4 linked regions of the Schizosaccharomyces pombe genome follow. Changing the gene in region 2 together with the main gene of any one other region gives a genetic interaction. Each region holds a gene or a part of one and is shown on either strand. Other genes may lie near its edges.

Region 1 (5,396 bases), on a different chromosome or scaffold from region 2:
TATTGATAACTTGATAATTTCCTTTCAAGCAATTGTAGTTGCCTCCGTATTTGAAGTGGAGGCACAAAATAAAACGAGGATCCTTCAAAACTTCCTATTTTAGAGAATCCTTTAAAAGCACCTTGATATTCAGACCGACCAGCGGTTGTTATTTCTAATTAAAAAAATTAACCTGATAATATACTTTAAATAAAGTTCCTTAATTGCAACTTCAGATTGGGAGGCACTTGTATTACTAGTAATGAAAAGATTATAATATAAAAGTTACTACTTACTTACTTACTAAGCTTACAACGTACTAGTCGGCGTTGCGTAGCAGTGCATCGCTGTTATCAGATCAATTAAACTGCACGTTTACCTAAGTAGTAAAATATTAAAAGGACATTTGACATTCATGATCATCAAATTAATAATAAAAATATGTCGTTGTTATTAATTTTTACTCGCTAAATCTCTTAATCAGTAAAAATCAAGTATCGAAACTTTCTTCCTAACGATTTATTACCATTTTTTGTATGCATCGAAAAAAATACAAATGAACAGTTGATAGTCCGTGCAGCAAGAAAAATTACTTGTCTGTTGGTTTTTACATATAAATGCTTCAAGAATAACTGAGAAAAAAGTGAAATAAATATTGAAGACAAGGACATATATATCGCAAAACCATATTAACAAAGTGCTACCTAAAACACTTGTTAACAAATAATATATATAAACCTTTTCTAAGGTCAGATATCAAAAATCAGGTTGCTTGAGCTCTGCGAGCTGCTCTAATATCTTTTGAAGTTGCTTGTTTCCAGCAACTGAAGACCTTTGGCGGCTTTCTTGAGAATGCAATGCTTCGTAATTATCACGAGCATAATTTTTAGGCATCTCATTCACAACAAATTGGGACTGAGATGTAATTGTTCCAAATGATCCTCCGGTATCATTAGGATTAAAACTAACTCTAGTTGGAATGTATGAAGTAGTGCTATAGGTATTTTGAATGAATCCTAATAAATGGTGAAGATTAACAGAATCTAAAGAACCTACTAAAGCTGGTAGATTAGGATTCGTTGATATACAGGGAGATGGCACGTCAGGCACAATACGCTCACCATTATACGATGGCGTACTAGAAGCAGCTGAGTGCATGAGAGAAGTCTTTGCGTGGTGAACAATACTTGCAGCAACCATCACGTCCACAGCAGCATATTCTATAAAGACAAAGTTAGAGTTCTGTCAAAACACATATATCTTTATTCAACGTACCATCACAACGGACTTCTGAATCGCTAGATCCGTCTTTAAACACTTGAACCGACACCTTCCCTAGGTGAGCCAAACCGGCGTTTATCAAGATAATGGATTTAACGCTGTTAATAATACAGCTTTTAATAATGACTTGTAAGTTTGAGTCACGGTACAAACAAGTGGTATGTATATTCAATCGACGCTCCTGAAAGACTTTTTCCACTCCCCATACAAATTCCTTTGGACAGTCTTCCGTGACTAGTATTTCACAATCAGGGCTGAAGTTTTTAGACATGGATATAGATCCCTTTCTATCGTAGGATTTACCCTTCGACATTAAAGGAGATCGCGTGCGTTTTCTGTATTACGTTAGCAAGGCTAAAAAAACAAACAAAATTGCGATGTTTTGCGAAATTAATTGCAGCAACGATAATTCCTTACCTGCTACTAGTGGGATAAGGAAGGTTTCCAATCATTTCAGAATATTGATTACTTTTGGTAACATGTGATCCTTTCTTCATGTTTTCTATTTGATTTTGATATTTCTTCTGAATTTTAGAAATTTCCAAATGCAGCTTTTGACCCCGAACAAAATTGCCTTGTTCCGCATTTAAAGCCCTAGCACAATCTTCGTTTGTAAAAAACTGAACGAAACCATAATTTGCTTTTAAAACTATCTGTGCTAAAGGCCCATAAATTTTAAAAACTTTCCACAAATTTCGTTTAGATAAGCTCTTTGTATTTAGATGACCCAAAAATAAGCGAGAAGCTGAAGGAAATTGCCCTGGATACCAGTTTGACATTATACTTTCTTCATCTTTCAAAAATTGTTGAAATCTTTGTTCATCCTCTAAGTTCATTTGCAACGATTTCTCGGCAGCATTGTTACCCAAATATTCAACATTTTGTGCTTCATGATTAAGTTGCAAATTTTCAGGACTATACGCAGATTCCGGGGAACTGGGTGTCTGGGGATTATGATGTTCATGTAATTCATTATGCTCATTATAATAATTGGGCAAATTAGCACTATACGAATAAATACTAGTCCTGTGAGCCTCAGGACTAGTTGACAAGTCTTTAGAATAGGGAATAAAATCAGTAGTTCTATAAGGTAAATCTAATTTCTCATGAGACTTTCCATATTCAATTTCTTCAAAATTCACCGAGCTATAAGTTTTTGACGGATCATAATAAGTGGTGTTTTGTAAGGATTGTTCAGGTAAATGCTCTGAAGCGGTCTGAAAATCGTATACTTGTAAATCTTTAGTAGAAGAGTTTTCAGTTTCTTGTTCCACTGGTTCATTGGATATCGAAAAAGGCTTATTTTGCTCAACGTCGAGTGAAGGAGGACTTTGAGAGGTAGATCCGTTTCCCCCCGAAACACTTGGTTGAGTAGTGGAAAGTGAATCCTTACTTTGAAAGTCGGAAGAAGTTGACTCTAAAATTGGAGCTCCATATATGTTTTTAGAAATTTCCTCATTGTTGGTGTCCGAAACTGGAATATTATTATAAGTATCTGAAGGAGTTAACCGAATGTTGCTAGTAGCTGAGTTTAATATTGGTATCTCCAAACTTCCAGAAGGAATACCGGATACTTGATCAAAGTTTGCATCATCTGACTTATTCCCATCCTTATTTTCTAATGTACGTTCATCAACGTTGTTGAATAAAGTGTCGTCTTGTGTTTGTAAAGCACTTATCGAAGCAGCAGCCTGTTTGACAGGTGAGTTGTAGTCTGGTTCATATGGAGATGATACCTGGTCTTGAAGCTCGGAGTTTGTACTGGTTTCTAAAATATTCTGCACAGGAGTTTCCACTTGGAACGAAGAATCTTTAGACGAGGATGACATTTATTGATTGACTTGAAAAGTAAAACCAAAATAAAACATCAAATTTTTTTAATTTATTATTATTAACAGGGAATATGAAGGAGAATTAAGAGGACAGAGTAACAAAAACAAAATTAGCTTTAAAAGATTAAAGTACTAAATTTTATGCATTTGATAAACTGGTCCAATTTTTAAATAAAATATTTACACAAGGTGCAATGAATGGAAATAACTAGAGGGTGAAACAGAAAAAGTAAAAATTTCACACTCAACCAAATGTGTAAAGAGTTGGCGATTAAAAGGAAATTTATGCAGATGGTTTTCTTCCAACTACCTTTATTTTTTTTTCTTCTTCACAACTTTATGTCTTAGGTAGAAGATACGGCGGAGTGGTACTAAAATTGCATCCTTTAAATAGATGAAAAATTAAGTTGCCACTCAAATGAATGGAACTTCGGGCTTTTCAAAACCACCGCCAGGGAAATGACATGAAAACAATTTTACTATCCCGAAATTTTCTTTTTTTCAGCTTCTGCACTGATAGCATAATCGTTTCCAAAACAAACTGTAAACTAAATTTTCATAAAAGCAGTAAATTTTCAAACTTGGAGATATCGGGGTAGGGTTACCGTTATTGCAGTTCAAATAACCATTGCTATTATTTAATATGTATAAAAAAACCATGTAGTAATAGACTCGTGTGCAAAGTACACTTCAGCTGGGTTTGAGGTGCAAGGTTGCCAATTAAGAAACGTAGTACTGATTCTTTTCACCTCTACCATACTTATTCAATGTTAAATGCTTATAACATTGATATCCACGGTTTTCATCCTATATTCAAACTATGCTTCCTGCCTTTAGTAACAAGCTTGCGTAATGCATTGTTTCCTGCATTTATTCGTTTGTTAAATTATAACGATATTTTGACGATTATACTATCCTTCCGTAACGTTAATATAATAATCAAAAATTTATATTGTTATAGGTCTTTAAAGGTAAAATCAATGTAAATAAATGTATTATTGCTAACATGTAGAAAATTTGATACTAACTTGAAAATTTTATGCAAGTACAAAATGGACTGTCCATTCAAGCAATGCCTTTCACTCTTGTATGTTTTGTTAAACTTTGCGTGGAAGAAACGCTTTCAAAATTATGGCTGAAGTTCGATCGAAAGAGAAGGAAACAATAATTACGTTTGCGAGACAAAACTAGTTTTTAAAAAAATTTTGTATATATATTTAAGTGGCTGTTAGTCTAATTATTATTTATTTTATTCATTCTTTAGATTTTATTTTATTTTATTTTTTATGTCGTATAGTATTACTTTATTTACGTTTCAATATGTATTTTTTGTTAAATTGCTTATTCACGAAATATTTTTCCATTTGCAATAAAATTTCTTTTCCTTTACTATATTTGCTTATTTAAAGTTCTTTTTTAATCACAACTCTATGACAATTTTCTACTCCTCATTTATAATACGAAAACTGAACAATCATAAAATTGAACTGTTTTACTTCACATAAATATCCAGCTACGATACTCCTATACCGTTTTTACATAGACAACAATCTCAAAATCGCAATATGATCATCCATTTACATATTCTATACTCTATGTACTATAACGCTTCTTAGTGCCTGGTTTACTCTTTCAAAGCTGTCAGGTGCATAAATATTGATGACAGAAAATCACCACAAGCGCACTCAAAGGCTTAAATAAAATAAACATTATCTATCGTTCGTTTTTTTTGGTAAAGAAAAAATGCTTCCACAAAGTTAAATTGTCACTTTTTCCCCATGTTTTATTTACCTTCAACGCCTCGTTGAAGGCCATTCTGCATCTCAAATTTGTCGCACTTTTCATGCAAGTTGAAAAATTGGTTATACACAATTTAAACCTCATACGAGGAGCTTCTTCCTCTCATCTGATTTTTAACACTGAAGTTTATCCTCATACTCACATATAACAATAGCGTTGGGTGTAGCATGGCAACAAAGGTTCCTGCGGTAGTAGGTAAAAGGCCCCCACGCTTGACTGATCCCCCACGGCTGATGACCACTAGTATTAAGGTCGCTGACGTTCTTCCTTTTCCTTTATACATCTTGTACAGACTGGGTCATTAGGTCTTCTCTCTACAACCATCGTCTAAACAAAAAGATGTCAGAAACTATATCGGATCCTTATCCTCTAACTAATCCAAATGCTCCATTAGGGCACCCAGGGCATTTGAATTCTACACAGCAAGCTACGCTAGATAGCATGCGTTTAGAGTTACAAAAACTTGGATACACGGAAAGATTAGACGATGCCACTTTAGTAAGT
Region 2 (4,704 bases):
CAACGTTGTACATAAGACGATGGTTGAACTAATGATGTAGTGTCTTCATTCGTAACAACTCATATTTTATAACTTACTTCCTACTAACGCGGTTTTAATCCTAAACTTGAATAAACTAGTGGTTTGTTTAATGCAATTCATTAAAAGGACATTTCCGCGAAGGGCCTTTGTCGATTTGCTCCTAAACCGCTTCTGCTTGCGGGAATTTGCAACCACGTATAGTGTTTCAGTAAGTAATGCGCGGAAATTAGTACGAAAGCGCCTTTTAATCGCTGATGCTTTGAAATTCAAGGAGCAAGTCAACAATCTAAATGAGTTTCGAAATAAAAAAACTAAGTCATCCTTAATAAGAAACGATGGTTTCAAACTGGCTAAAAATGTATCTTCGTTACTTCAAAAAGAGTCTTTAGAGAAAGCATTGCATTTACTGTACGAGAGATCAAATGCCAAGAAGACGGTTGCCTATAACCTTGTACTACAATATCATTTAGCTAAAGGGCATTACAACGCTGCTTGGTCTTTGTACAATGATATGAAAAAGCGCCAACAAAAACCTAGCGATCATACATACTCCATTCTTCTAAAGGGATTTTGCGATGCTATTGAAAAGAATAAGCAAGGAAATTTTTCTAAACTACGTGAATATAGTGAAAAGGTAACAGCTAGTGCTCTCAAGGAGTCTAATAATGTCACATCCAATTTGCATCACATACGAATTATATCCAAGTGTAGTCTAAAGCTTAAAAGTATGGTATTGGTGTCAATGATTATTCCATCCATCAAACAAACATTGGATTTCTATAGTGGATCTCAAATTCTTCGACTTTTGAACGACTTTTCTATGTTCAATCCGGAACAACGTGAAGAAGTGTTAAAGATGGGGACGAATCTTTGGAATTATTTTGTCCTTGAATGCCAAAAGAAAGGAATAGCAGTTGATGAAAGTCTTATTTGTTCCTTTGTGAAACTTCTGGCTACTAGCAACTCGCCTCAAGTGAGAAACGTGGGGTTAAATATTCTTACAAAAGTGATGGGATTGGAATATCAGATTTTCGAAGATTCCAACTTGCGTTATCCTTTACCCCCATATTGCGATTGTACTTCAAGAAGTTTGGTTACAGCATTACAGGTCATTCGTCAAATACAAAACGGTGATTTGTTAGCAAGGTATTGGAAGTATTTTGAGGAAAGTCACAAATTTGATTTAAATCTTCAAGTATATCATGAGAAGCTACGTAACCTTGTTCAGCAGGGCCAAGCAGCTGAATGCTTAAATACCATTAAAAGGATGTCGCATAACGGTCCTTTCCCTACTCAGCAGACATTTTTGATTGTCTTATCATTATGCAAAAGGCCGAAATTTTATAGCTACACGAAAAGCTTCTTAGACTTGGCCAAGAAATTGAACGTCCCCGTTGAAGCAACCTAAAAATATCATCAAGTGTTTAATAATTCATCGATACCTTTTTATGTCATTTATAATTTTCTATTAATTTATAAGAAATGAATTCAAATAATCGTCATGTAATTTATTTATTTGTACATGTTTACCTTGTCCGTTTGAAACTGTAGAATGGAACCCTTATTATTTTAACGTCAATTTAGCAAACGTAATTTAAAATTGTTTGTTGAAAAGCCATGAATTAACTAAGAGTTATAATTATGTTTCTGTTGCATGCCACTGATTTAGCCTGAACTTCACCTAGACGTAGTATTAACTTAGGAACTACTGATTTTGGGCATAAAGAGCTATATACTCACTAAAAATGCAAGGATTTAATATGGGGAAATATATTCCCCCGGAAGGGCCGAATGCTAAAAGAAAATTTGATAAATTACGAAATGTAATTCGGTTTGAAATGCCATTTCCAGTGTGGTGCAACAATTGTGAAAATATCATTCAACAAGGCACTAGATTCAATGCTGTTAAAAAAGAGATTGGCTCATACTATACTACGAAAATATGGTCATTCAGCTTAAAATGTCATTTATGCTCAAACCCTATCGATGTACATACGGATCCTAAGGTACTGGTTTGATTAATTTAACAAATTTGTTACTGACATAAATAGAATACAGAATACATCGTTGCTTCTGGAGGCAGAAGGAAAATTGAACCTCAAGACATCAATGAACGTCCTGCAAAAGCTGAAAACGACGAAAAGGTGCCGTCTGATGCAATTGAAGCGCTGGAAACCCAATTAACTCAGCAAAAGTCAGAAAAGCATAATAGTTCTGTAATAAACTTTATATATGAGAAAAATGAAAGGCTTTGGTCGGATCCTTTCGTTTCTTCTCAGAGGCTGCGAAAACAGTTTCGGGTAAGAAGAATTTGTTTTGCGTTAAAATTTTCATATTAACTAACCCATAACTTAGGAAAGGAAAAAAATTGAAAAAAAGCAAGAAGCTAAAGATCTATCTCTCAAAAACCGTGCAGCGTTGGACATTGATATATTACCACCCTCTTCTTCTGACAAGGATAAGGCATTATTGTTGCTAGATAACGAATTAGGAAAGAATAAATTTATAAGGAAATTAGATTATAGAAGAACATTAATGCCCTCTTCTAGAACATTTTCGACTTTTGCAAAGTTTGCTGAGACTTCATTCGCAAAAAAAGATCCTTTTGCTCGAAAATTTGTCCCTTCCGAGAAGCTAAGGAGCGAGCAAAGGAAATTTCCTACAGAAAATTTAAAGGGAGAGAAAATCCTTGAAGATAATTCGGTTTCTCTCGTCAATTATGAAGTGAGTGATGATGAAGGATAATTATTTTGGTTAAATACGAAGACTTTAAAAGTATCTTCTATCAAAAGATTAACTACTTGTTATTCATTAAATTTTTATACAATATGGGTATCTAATGAAGCAAAAAAATATGGATGTCATGCAACCCAATTAATTACCGTGATGCTTCCTTTTGTACTTCCTTGGATCCTTCCTACTCATGCGAACGCGATCGCGCATTCCTTTTCCTCCCTCCCAGTAGGCACTGGTTTGTTTTTTCACAGTCATATTTCCACAATGGGGGCAAGTTGCATCCTTTTTGTAGAAAGATTCCATGGCACAGTACCCACATATTATTCGATTAGCATGCTCAAATGTATGATTTTGATCAGCGTCATGACATTCATCACATGGATAAACACGATCACAACATGAAAAACGAAACCCTGATTGTTAATTATGAATTTTATAAACGACTTACATCTGAATGATTTTTTGTAATGTTCGCAAGCACCATTATTGGGAAGTGGCAATCCTTTCGTAATGTTTAAGTTTTGTTTTTGCTTCTTTTTTGCGCTCACCTTCCCGCCCATTGAACTTTGTCGTTGTTTTAACAAATGAAATTCGGTATCTTGATGTTCAACCAAGATTCTGTTTTTGCATACTTTACAAAACTGTAGCATGGGCTGCATGGAAGAAATACCTTTAAAGGATGTTATCTGCTCATCAACACATTCCATACAAGAGACCTGACAGTCAATGGGCATCACGTCAACCGGTACACATCCTAAAGTATGGAGGATACCTAAACGGGCATTATTTGGGTGAATCACACCAGGCACCCAAACTAATCTTAGAGTATTACTACACTTATTGCAAACAAGAGAAAATTTTGTAGCAATAGAAATTTCACTTCCATAATGGCACCGAACACACTTTATGACCAAACGTAAAATTGGTGCTTTGAGAGTACCGACATTAGTTAAATGCGGATTCTTCCATTCTAAGCAGTATTCGTTACCCAGAAGCTCTGTGTCTTTGCTCTGAATGTCATGATCGTTACTGTAAGCATCCTGTGGTTCATTAACATTTTGTAGATCATCTTCTTTCCCATCGTTTCCTCCTTTTGAATAAATAATTTTTTTTGGCTTTTCATCATTGAATAACTGTTCAGAGCCAGAGATGGTAGTTTTTGTTTGGGTAGTATTCTGCTTTTGACAGTGATTTTGACCACGCAGTACTTCATAGTCAAGTGTAGTGTTCAAATGAACCCTCTCTGATAGAGGTCCTTCAAGCTTATTTGCCAACGGCTCTAAGTCAGTTGGGGTTTCTGGTTTCTTAGAATCGACTTGTTGAACCATCAACTCACGCTCTTTTGTATTGCATGTCTCAAATGATTTCCAATTTTGTAACAAATAATTAAATAAACTTGTCAAAGTTGTTTTCTGATTTTGAAATGCCGTTTCAACGTACTTATTCATTGCCGTTTGCATGAACTCTTGATTTTTTTCAAGTAATACCGATATTTGAAACGGTTTATCTTTATTTATAACTAAAGTAATCAATCCATGATCACTGGGCAAGGATAAGAAAATCTCATTTCTTGCCTCTCTGGTACTAGTTAATAAAGATGTTTACATTAACTAACCCACAGCTAACCTGCTTAGTACTTACATAACTTCCGGATTAAGCCTTCGCCGGAATACTTGTATCTGCAAGTCCCAATTTGAATCCTTCATAGCTTCAATTGAAACCATAATAACCAAAAAAGGCTATAGTCTTGTAGTATTTGGTTCAATTCAGGTTAAGTCGCCAACACAAATACTCGGTTCTTCCTCGGATGTCCGATGATTATTTCGACAGACTATTTGAATTAGCATTCGTTTATATTAATGAAGATGAAACGATTCAAAGCTGTTCCTTCAGAGGACAACGCTGGCTTGAAGAGGTATGTCTAATTTTTCCGTGCCGTTTATAGTA
Region 3 (4,459 bases), 540 kb from region 2:
GGTTGCGTGTACAAAATAAAATATGTGACTTGTTGCACATATCAATGCGTTCTTTGGGTGCTTCAGCGATCAGTTTGGCACATCTTTCTAGTAAGGAGATATGGGAGAAAAGTGGAAGATGGCAAAAGACTGGAAGTGAACTTTTTCGTCTTCATGACCGAAATGACAGAGAAATGTGCCTTGCTCCTACCCATGAGGAAGATGTTACTCGCACTATGGCTACAATCATAGATTCTCAAAAGCAATTACCGATACGTGTTTACCAGATAGGTCGAAAGTTTCGGGATGAATTACGTCCGCGAGGTGGTCTTCTTCGCGGTAGAGAGTTCATGATGAAGGATCTTTATACTTTTGATATCGACAAAGCATCCGCTATGAAAACTTACGAGGATGTTTTGCAAGCATATCATACTTTTTTCAAAGAAGTGGGATTGCCATTCGTGATGGTGAAAGCTGCTACGGGTAATATTGGAGGAAACTTATCACACGAATTTCATTATCGACACCCTGTGGGAGAAGATGTAATCTATACATGTCCGTCTTGTCATTATTCAACAAATTCCGAAATGCTTGATTTGTCTAAAACATCCAGTGATATTTCATGCCCTAATTGCAATGATCAGCTAACTTCAACTACCGCGATTGAAGTAGGACATGCCTTCTATCTTGGAAAAATTTATTCCTCCAAATTTAATGCAACGGTAGAAGTAAAAAACAAACAGGAAGTCCTTCATATGGGATGTTATGGAATCGGTGTTTCAAGACTTATAGCTGCAGTCGCTCATGTAACCAAAGATGCAAAGGGTTTAGTGTGGCCATCGTCGATAGCTCCTTGGAAAGTACTAGTTGTTCCTACTTCTGATAATCATATTCAGAGCGCTGAAACGGTTTACGATGCCACGGCTAACGTTGTAGGCTTTGATAATGTGCTGTTGGAGGACAGACAAAATAGAGCTTTTGGATATAAAATGAGAGATGCTGAGTTGATTGGATATCCATTTGTAATAGTTGTAGGATCAAGATTTCAAGAGGAAGGAATATGTGAAATTATTGTTCGTTCTTCAGGTGAACGATATAAACTTGACAAAGATTCACTGCATCAAGTACTCTTGGGAAACTTTCTTTAAATTTGTCAAATCCTACAATATTTTTTTATGCTATGAGAGTAATCTAATGTCAAGAATTTAACTTATCGTTCAAATAGATACCATTTCTACTTGTGAACATTGGAAAAAAGCTTTTTTGTCCAAAAATTATATCAATGCAAAATGCTGAAATCATCATTTCGATAAAATTTGTTTTGTAGTATCAGACAAAAACTCGTTCCGCTTTATTGATATCTTACTATTTTATAAACATTAAAAAAGTGTCATGTTTCCTTCCTACTTCTTTTTGTAATTCGGTTTTCTGCAACTATAGTTTGAACTCATAAATTAAATCAGATACACAATCTGAGGATCGGATGCAAAACTAAGTTTGAAGTAATCCCTGCAAAGAGCTAGCTGATTCAATAGTACGAAGCAAGAGTTTAATATTAACAATCATAAAGATTTGCGCTAGATTACAATTTAAGCGAAATACAATTCCAAGCCTTCAGGCTATCTATTTAATAGTTCGGTAAGATAATGTGAAGATGTCCGAGTGTGATTAAAAGCAGTTAAAACACTTCCCTTTGAAATAAATCAAATAATACGACCAAAGACCAACAAGTTCAGGGTTCACTTCTATAAGTCTCATAATCAATATTTTAGCTGATTTTTTAAGCAAAATTGCAAATTCCACGGAGTGCGATCACATCGACACTACCTGTTTATAAGAATATATAGGAGTATATATATAAGAGGCAAATCTCTGTCAGGATATTTCCAGAACACCAATACCTCAATACAGGCGATTAGAAAGGAAACGATTTCTAACGCTCTTTAAACGTTTGGATTGAAACTAGTAAGTATTTATATCTATGTAATAACTGTTTTGAGTGAGACCCCTACGCGTCTTTTCATTGCTTTCTATCTTTAGGTTTTCTACGTTTTATTTATGCGATATTAATACTTATTAGATTTATTTCATTTTTAAGTAAAATGTCACAATTTGCTGAGTTCAAATTACCTGCCATTAAGAACGAGCCTCCTAAACACTATGGTCCCAATAGTGCTGACAGAGAGGGAATCGTCAAGGCCTACAAGGAGTTAGAGGCTGAATTACCTGTCACTATCCCTGTCATCATTGATGGTAAGGAAGTTGAAACGAATACCATTGGTGAGCAGCGTTGTCCTTTTGAGCACAAAAAGGTCGTTGCTCGCTATCACCGTGCTGGTGCCAAGCACGTTGAAGATGCCATTGAGGCAGCACTTCGTGGAAAGAAGGTCTGGGAATCCTTACCTTTTGCTGACCGTTCTGCCATTTTCTTGAAGGCTGCTCATTTGATAAGCACCAAGTACCGTTACAAGCTCATGGCTGCTACAATGATTGGCCAGGGTAAGAACATCTGGCAAGCTGAAATTGACGCTGGAATGGAGATCATTGACTTCCTTCGCTTCAATACCAAGTATGCTAGTGAATTATATGCCAGCCAACCTCCCGAAAACACTCCTGGTGTCTGGAACCGTATGGAATATCGTCCTTTGGAAGGTTTCGTTTATGCCATTACTCCTTTCAACTTTACAGCTATTGCTGGTAACTTGGCTGCTGCCCCCCTTCTCATGGGCAACGTCGTTTTAATGAAGCCTTCTGACCATGCAGTCCTTTCTAGCTACATTGTTTACCAAATCTTCCGTGAAGCTGGTCTTCCCGCTGGAGCACTTCAATTTATCCCTGGTGACGCTGTTGAAGTCTCCAAGGTTTGTTTCAACCACCCTGAGTTTGCTGGTCTTCATTTTACTGGTAGCACAGCCGTCTTTCGTAGCCTTTGGGGAACAATTGGCGAGAATGTTGCCAACGGAAAATACCGCACTTACCCCAAAATCGTCGGTGAGACTGGTGGTAAGAACTTTCATCTTGTACATTCTTCCGCTGAAATTAAGAGTGCCGTTGTTAATGCTGTTCGTGCTGCTTTCGAATATCAAGGCCAAAAGTGCTCTGCCCTTTCTCGTCTTTACGTTTCTAAGTATGCTTGGGAAAATGGTTTCCGTGATGAGCTTACCAAACAGGTCAAGTCTCTTAAGGTCGGTGCTCCTTTAACTGATTTTGCTAATTTTGTGGGCCCTGTTATCCATCAAGCAAGCTTTAACAAACTGAAGAAGGTTCTTGAGAGTGCTGCTTCCGATTCTGAAATTGAAGTTTTGGCTGGCGGTAAAGCTGATGATTCCGAAGGTTTCTTTGTTGAACCTACCGTTTTACTTTCTAAAAACCCTAAACATGATATATTCGTTAACGAATTGTTCGGCCCCGTACTGTCTGTTTATGTATATGAGGATGACAACTTAGACGCTGTTTGCGATCTCATCGATACTACCACTCCTTATGGTTTAACCGGATCCATCTTCGCTCAGGACCGTGTTGTTGTCAGAAAGTTGACTGACCGTCTCCGTAATGCCGCTGGTAACTTCTATATCAATGATAAGTGTACTGGTGCTGTTGTTGGTGAACAACCTTTTGGTGGTGCTCGTGCCAGTGGTACTAACGATAAAGCTGGTAGCGGAATGATTCTGTCTCGATTCGTTTCTCCTCGCTCCATCAAAGATACGTTTGCTTATGCAGACTCTGTTTTATACCCTTCCAACTTTTAAGTTTGTTTTGGCCTTTTTGATTTGGATTTAATTTTTAGAATTTAGATAGACATTGGAGTTGTAGAGTGTTTTACTCTGTACTTTGATACTGCCATAAAAAAGACCACAACCTTTTTTTTTTTGGGTTTAGTACAATATGTGAGGAATAAAGGAAGTATATATATATATATATATTGATTAGTTACCTTGAGTTAAACTCAAACTTTCAAAGGTAGTCTAGGTTTTACAATTTTTTTTTTTCTTTTTTTTTAAAGCTCGCCATTTGTTATTCTAATAAATTATAATGTTCGCTTTGTTAACATGTATTGATTTATAACACTAGATTTGTTGCATTGTATATAAAAGCCAGTGGACCAAAATGTAGTTTGCTGGTGATTCTTGAATACAACAACGACCTGTAGAAAAAGGATCTCAATTATCGAACATTTTACTTGCTGACTGCGAAATATATTATATTAGGCTTCGGAGCAATTAGAAAAATTACAAGTCTTGATGGAAAGTTCGTTTGCTTTACATTTTGTTGTAGGGTTACTCATGTACAAACACCATTAACCCACATACTCTCTACTCCACACATCGCCCAACATAATTAAAACTTTTAACATGTTTTCATGGGAGGCTAGTTTATCTAATGGTAAGAGATGAGTTGGGAATTAAATAACAACTAATATTTGATAGAACTGTATTTTGTTCGTCAATACTTTTATAGTGGAAACTATACAAAGTTATTT
Region 4 (4,442 bases), on a different chromosome or scaffold from region 2:
TTCTTGGAATTAGTAGCAAGAATTAAAAGAAAAAGCCAACGAATATTAACCAAAATATATTTTTTCAAGGTACCAAACGCCACGAAATGCAGCTTACCTTCCTATGCGAAAGAATAGAGCGCTGAAGTATGGTGTGGTGTAGAGTGTCAAAGTCAGAAGCTGCGTTGCAGAACCATTTATAAACAACAACGCAAACCGTTCGTCCGTTGCTGTGATAGAGTGATACATAATATCAGTCAATTGCCTTTACCCGCTACATTACCTAGGAAATCGTAATAAACGAGCGTTATAATTTCATTACGTTACAAAACCACTGTATTAAATAGTAGAATCACCCAATTTTTGTAAAACTAATAAATTCTTAGCATATCACAATGTGAATGGAACGGTAGCTCCTATGTAAGAAATAAGAATGTTAAAGTTGGCTTTTAAGCAGTTTAGCAATTTTTCTGCGAAACTAGTAAGTAGATGCAAGGAAACTGGTTTCCACATTGTTTGGATTAACTCTACCTTTTCATTCATTGCTTCCAAGGTATTGTTTGTTTACGTACACCCTAACTTGACTTGAAAAATTTTAAACTAAAAAGTTGCTTTAAACATAAATTTAATAACTAATCATTATACTAAAAGACTATATGAATTGAATGGGCTTATCATAAAAAACATATAAATCAAAGGAAACTTTGTTTGCCAATTCCACTCTCAATAGCTTGCTCATTGCTTATTGATCTTAGACGTCAACTTGGCTTGCTCAACTAGGACACGAGGTGCATCCAACATAGGCATTACAAGCTCAACTACTTGAATGACATCTGCATTTGCAAACTCCTTGTCGCTAAACAACTTTTCAACGTCAGTAGGAGTTTTAACACAGTAAGTGCGGAAGTGGTTTTCAGCAGCTCCGAAAAACTTGGGAATCTGTTGGTAGCCCCATTTAGTGTTAATTTCGTTATAGCTAGCATGCAAACCATGAATTAAACGCTCAATGGTGTAACCGTCGTTGTTAATTATGAAAATAATTGGTTTGAGGTTATGGCGAATGCAGGTTGAAATCTCTGTAATCGTCAGTTGTAAGGATCCATCACCTACTACAAGAATGGTACGACGATCGGGCTCTTTAGAATCGTGGACGGCCAAAACAGCACCAAACATTGCACCAACGGAGTATCCAATAGATCCCCATAATACCTGGGAAATGGCTGTTACATCCTTTGGAAACCTGCAATCAAGGACACCAAAGTTTGCAGTTCCAGTCTCGGTGATCAAAACATCTCGGGGCTTCAAAAATTCACTAAATTTAGGCCAAAACCAGCAATGAGTAATCTCGTTGGAAGAATATCCTTCCGCATGCTTAGGCTTGATGTTGTAGCCAATGGTAGGAGCAGCCTTGGAATGACACATAGAAGCATCAAGTACTTTCAACAGTTTGCGAAGAATATACTTCATGGCTACATTTGGATAAAGAGCATATCGAATGCGCATGTGGTCTGAATGAAACTCAACGGCATTCTTTTGGCTGAGGTGGTAAGAGAAGGAACCCGTGTTAAAGTCTGATTTGAGAGCACCGATGGATAGCAACAGATCAGTGGATTCAATTCTGTCTTTAACTTCAGGATCTGAAATTGAACCAACATAAACGCCGTCAAAAAATTGCGAAGTTTCGTCAATTGCAGATTTACCCATGGGAGTTACATATGTAGGGAAATGGGTCAATTTAATCAGCTCATGTACTTCTGGAACGACACGATGTCTTACAGCACAAGCGTCAATTAAAATCACTGGTTTCTTTGCATTGACAACCATTTCCGAGATATGATTGATGACTTCTTGCTCAACTGCTGGATCGTTAGTATCCTCCTCGAGCTTTAGTCTTTTCCCAAGATTTGATGAAGATGCTTTGAAGTAGCCAGCATCAGAAGGAATACCAATGTAAACAGGCCTAGCCTTTTTATAACAAATCGACAAGGCTTCATCGATCTTTTCAGCTGCATCGTTTCCGTTATCGATCATTATACTGTAGGCAGAAACTTTCTTAAACATATCCATGAAAGTGCGAAAGTCTCCATCTCCTAAAGTATGATGAAGCAAAGCTCCAGTATCTTGCACCTTTGTGGAAGGCATTCCAACAATATGAACTACTGGGACATGCTCCGCATAAGAACCTGCCACTCCATTAATAGCGGAAAGCTCTCCCACGCCGAACGTTGTAACAATGGCTGAAAGACCATTAACACGAGCATAACCATCAGCGGCATAAGCACCATTCAACTCATTGGTATTGCCAACCCAACGAAATTTCTCATCTCCAACTTTCTCAATTAAGTCAAGTAGAGCTAAATTGAAATCTCCTGGAACACCAAGAATGGACTTGACCCCTAATTGTTCAAGCCTTTTGAATAGATATTCACCGACTAAAATATCCCCACTCATGTTTGATAATGCAATTTAATGTGCTTGTGAAATATACTCAACAAATTACAATGCTGAGTGTGTATTCCTTTTTCGCAAGATAATTATCTGTTGAATAACCAGCAGATACTTTCTGAACTTAAAGGAACAAGTGAGTTTGCTAGCTAAAAGTTAAAAAGATATAACCTTAGATGCTTCAGAGCAGGGTTACTCTGGCTATATAAGCAACATTCCGTCATCAATGATACATTGAGTTAATGTGGATTATTCTTTTTGAAACTCTTGGTACGAAACCACTCGTCAGAGGCTATTTCATTATTCGACTCAAATCTCACTATGTGCCACCCGGGAAAACGTCAACTATGCAATTTGCAATTATTGATTTAAGGCATCGTCAGCAGTTTATACTGGACGATTCTTCGGTTAGTGTAAGCAACTGCAGAAATTATTATGAAAACTCTACATCACCGAACGTTCCGTCTCGAAATTCTTAATTGTATCTATACCAAAGACAAAATTGATACCTTTTACATTATGTCTAAACTGAATTTAATGACTATTCCTTATTTCAAGCTTATTAATTTACATGCTTTATTGGTTTGTACCATGTTTGTTTGGATACTTAACATTGAGAGCTGAATGTGAAATATTGTTTCGTCCGTAAAAGTAAGGCGTACCTCATGGTTACGAGACCATGTGACCACTCAAAAATAGAATCCTCATTATTATAAAGTATCCAAAAGTCTTTGAACATATTGCTGTAATTATGATTTCACATGAATATTAACGACATTTTTCAACCGAGTTCACGATTTGCCTGACATCTAGCAATATCGATTTCACAATTGATGGACCATTTATAGGCTTCTTGCTTTAATTCTGATTATTTTTTTCATTGTTATATTGCTACAGTGTTAAGCTTCAACTTGTTGTTTTTCTGTTTATCATATTGATTTGCAAATTGTAACGCTCCTTGCTATCCTCAATAGTTGCCATGAGCCAAACGGTATAGCAAGAAGTGATCTCCAGCACTGGTTCCCCCACCCCCACATGATGTGTACATTTAAGAGGGCAGGTAACGCTAATAAATAGTATGATAAATAATACAAAATTACTGTTATAAAAATTTCAACAGATATCTAAAAAAAATTGATTTGATCATATCCCAAAGTATTGTAAACTCGCACAGGAGAATATTCTACCTTTAAAGATTTAGTTTTGTATTATGATTTTGTTTGACAAAAGTAATAGTCATGAGTAAATTGATTACTACATTTAATAAACAAATCTATATTCAAAATAGAAAAAAAAAATTCGCTACTTCGAAAGTGAAATTTAACAACATGAGACTTCAACCGAATTGATTTTATTTTTAAAGGAAACAGAACCAGAGCCATCAGAAAGACTCGGTCCTTACAACCGTTATGAACGGTTGTGGAAAACAGTATTAAAAAGAATAAAATCATGATAGCTACATATCATTGACATACACTTAACAAGGACATTGAAAAATGAGATTGGTGTAATCAACAGTAAATAAGTAAAAACATAAAGTTTGCACATATAGCCAAGAAAATAAATAAGCTAATACTTGCGAGCGACTTCAATAATAGTGCGAACTGGGCGTCCGCTCATGCCGTCACAATCCCAAGAATTAAGCTGCTTATCCATAACTCCGGCAATGTCTAAATGAGCAAAAGACAAATCTTTCTGGGCTAAGAAGCATTTAATAAAGGCAGCCGCTGTACAACAACCACCACCGGCACGACTAACATTGCACAAATCAGCATTTGAAGAACTTGTAAGTTGCTTGAGGTAAGCCTCGTGAAATGGCATACGCCAGAAAAGGTCTCCAGCATCATGGGAAGCAGTTTCAAGATTCTTCCACAACTCTTCTCCTTGAACAAATGCACCAGTAAATACATTACCGAGGGCTACTAGCATAGCACCAGTTAATGTGCTGGCTTCAATCACAGCCTTGGTCTTATACTGAGAAGAGACATAGTGAACTGCATCGGCAAGAATAAGACGAC

Evidence for each region.
Region 1: mutations in saf4 (region 2) and nab3 together harm fitness less than expected from each alone (positive genetic interaction), as found in Schizosaccharomyces pombe (one large-scale study listed by BioGRID).
Region 3: mutations in saf4 (region 2) and put2 together harm fitness less than expected from each alone (positive genetic interaction), as found in Schizosaccharomyces pombe (one large-scale study listed by BioGRID).
Region 4: mutations in saf4 (region 2) and pdc202 together harm fitness more than expected from each alone (negative genetic interaction), as found in Schizosaccharomyces pombe (one large-scale study listed by BioGRID).

The regions. Positions count from the first base shown.
Region 1 is NC_003424.3:603,761-609,156, forward strand, and holds nab3 (poly(A)-binding protein Nab3), read right to left. Parts: upstream 3,452-5,396; 5' UTR 3,090-3,451; coding exon 1,678-3,089; exon of another isoform or gene 1,596-1,677; coding exon 1,255-1,595; exon of another isoform or gene 1,200-1,254; coding exon 736-1,199; 3' UTR 552-735; downstream 1-551. Other genes in the region: spo20 (sec14 cytosolic factor family, phospholipid-intermembrane transfer protein Spo20/Sec14), read left to right, coding at 5,232-5,390.
Region 2 is NC_003423.3:1,786,109-1,790,812, reverse strand, and holds saf4 (splicing-associated factor Saf4), read left to right. Parts: upstream 1-1,766; coding exon 1,767-2,027; exon of another isoform or gene 2,028-2,072; coding exon 2,073-2,321; exon of another isoform or gene 2,322-2,376; coding exon 2,377-2,766; 3' UTR 2,767-2,895; coding exon of another isoform or gene 2,896-3,170; 3' UTR 3,171-3,205; downstream 3,206-4,704. Other genes in the region: PPR repeat-containing protein Ppr2, read left to right, coding at 131-1,429; SPOM_SPBC18H10.09 (zf-CHY type zinc finger protein), read right to left, coding at 2,896-3,170, 3,206-4,335, 4,399-4,481; ubiquitin hydrolase Ubp4, read left to right, coding at 4,565-4,672.
Region 3 is NC_003423.3:2,323,175-2,327,633, forward strand, and holds put2 (delta-1-pyrroline-5-carboxylate dehydrogenase), read left to right. Parts: upstream 1-1,866; 5' UTR 1,867-1,944; intron 1,945-2,059; 5' UTR 2,060-2,081; coding exon 2,082-3,728; 3' UTR 3,729-3,924; downstream 3,925-4,459. Other genes in the region: SPOM_SPBC24C6.03 (proline--tRNA (Pro) ligase), read left to right, coding at 1-1,127; sec28 (coatomer epsilon subunit protein), read left to right, coding at 4,332-4,362, 4,407-4,459.
Region 4 is NC_003424.3:583,585-588,026, reverse strand, and holds pdc202 (pyruvate decarboxylase), read right to left. Parts: upstream 2,431-4,442; coding exon 715-2,430; 3' UTR 532-714; downstream 1-531. Other genes in the region: ysp2 (peptidase family M17 cytoplasmic leucyl aminopeptidase yspII (LAP yspII)), read right to left, coding at 3,994-4,442.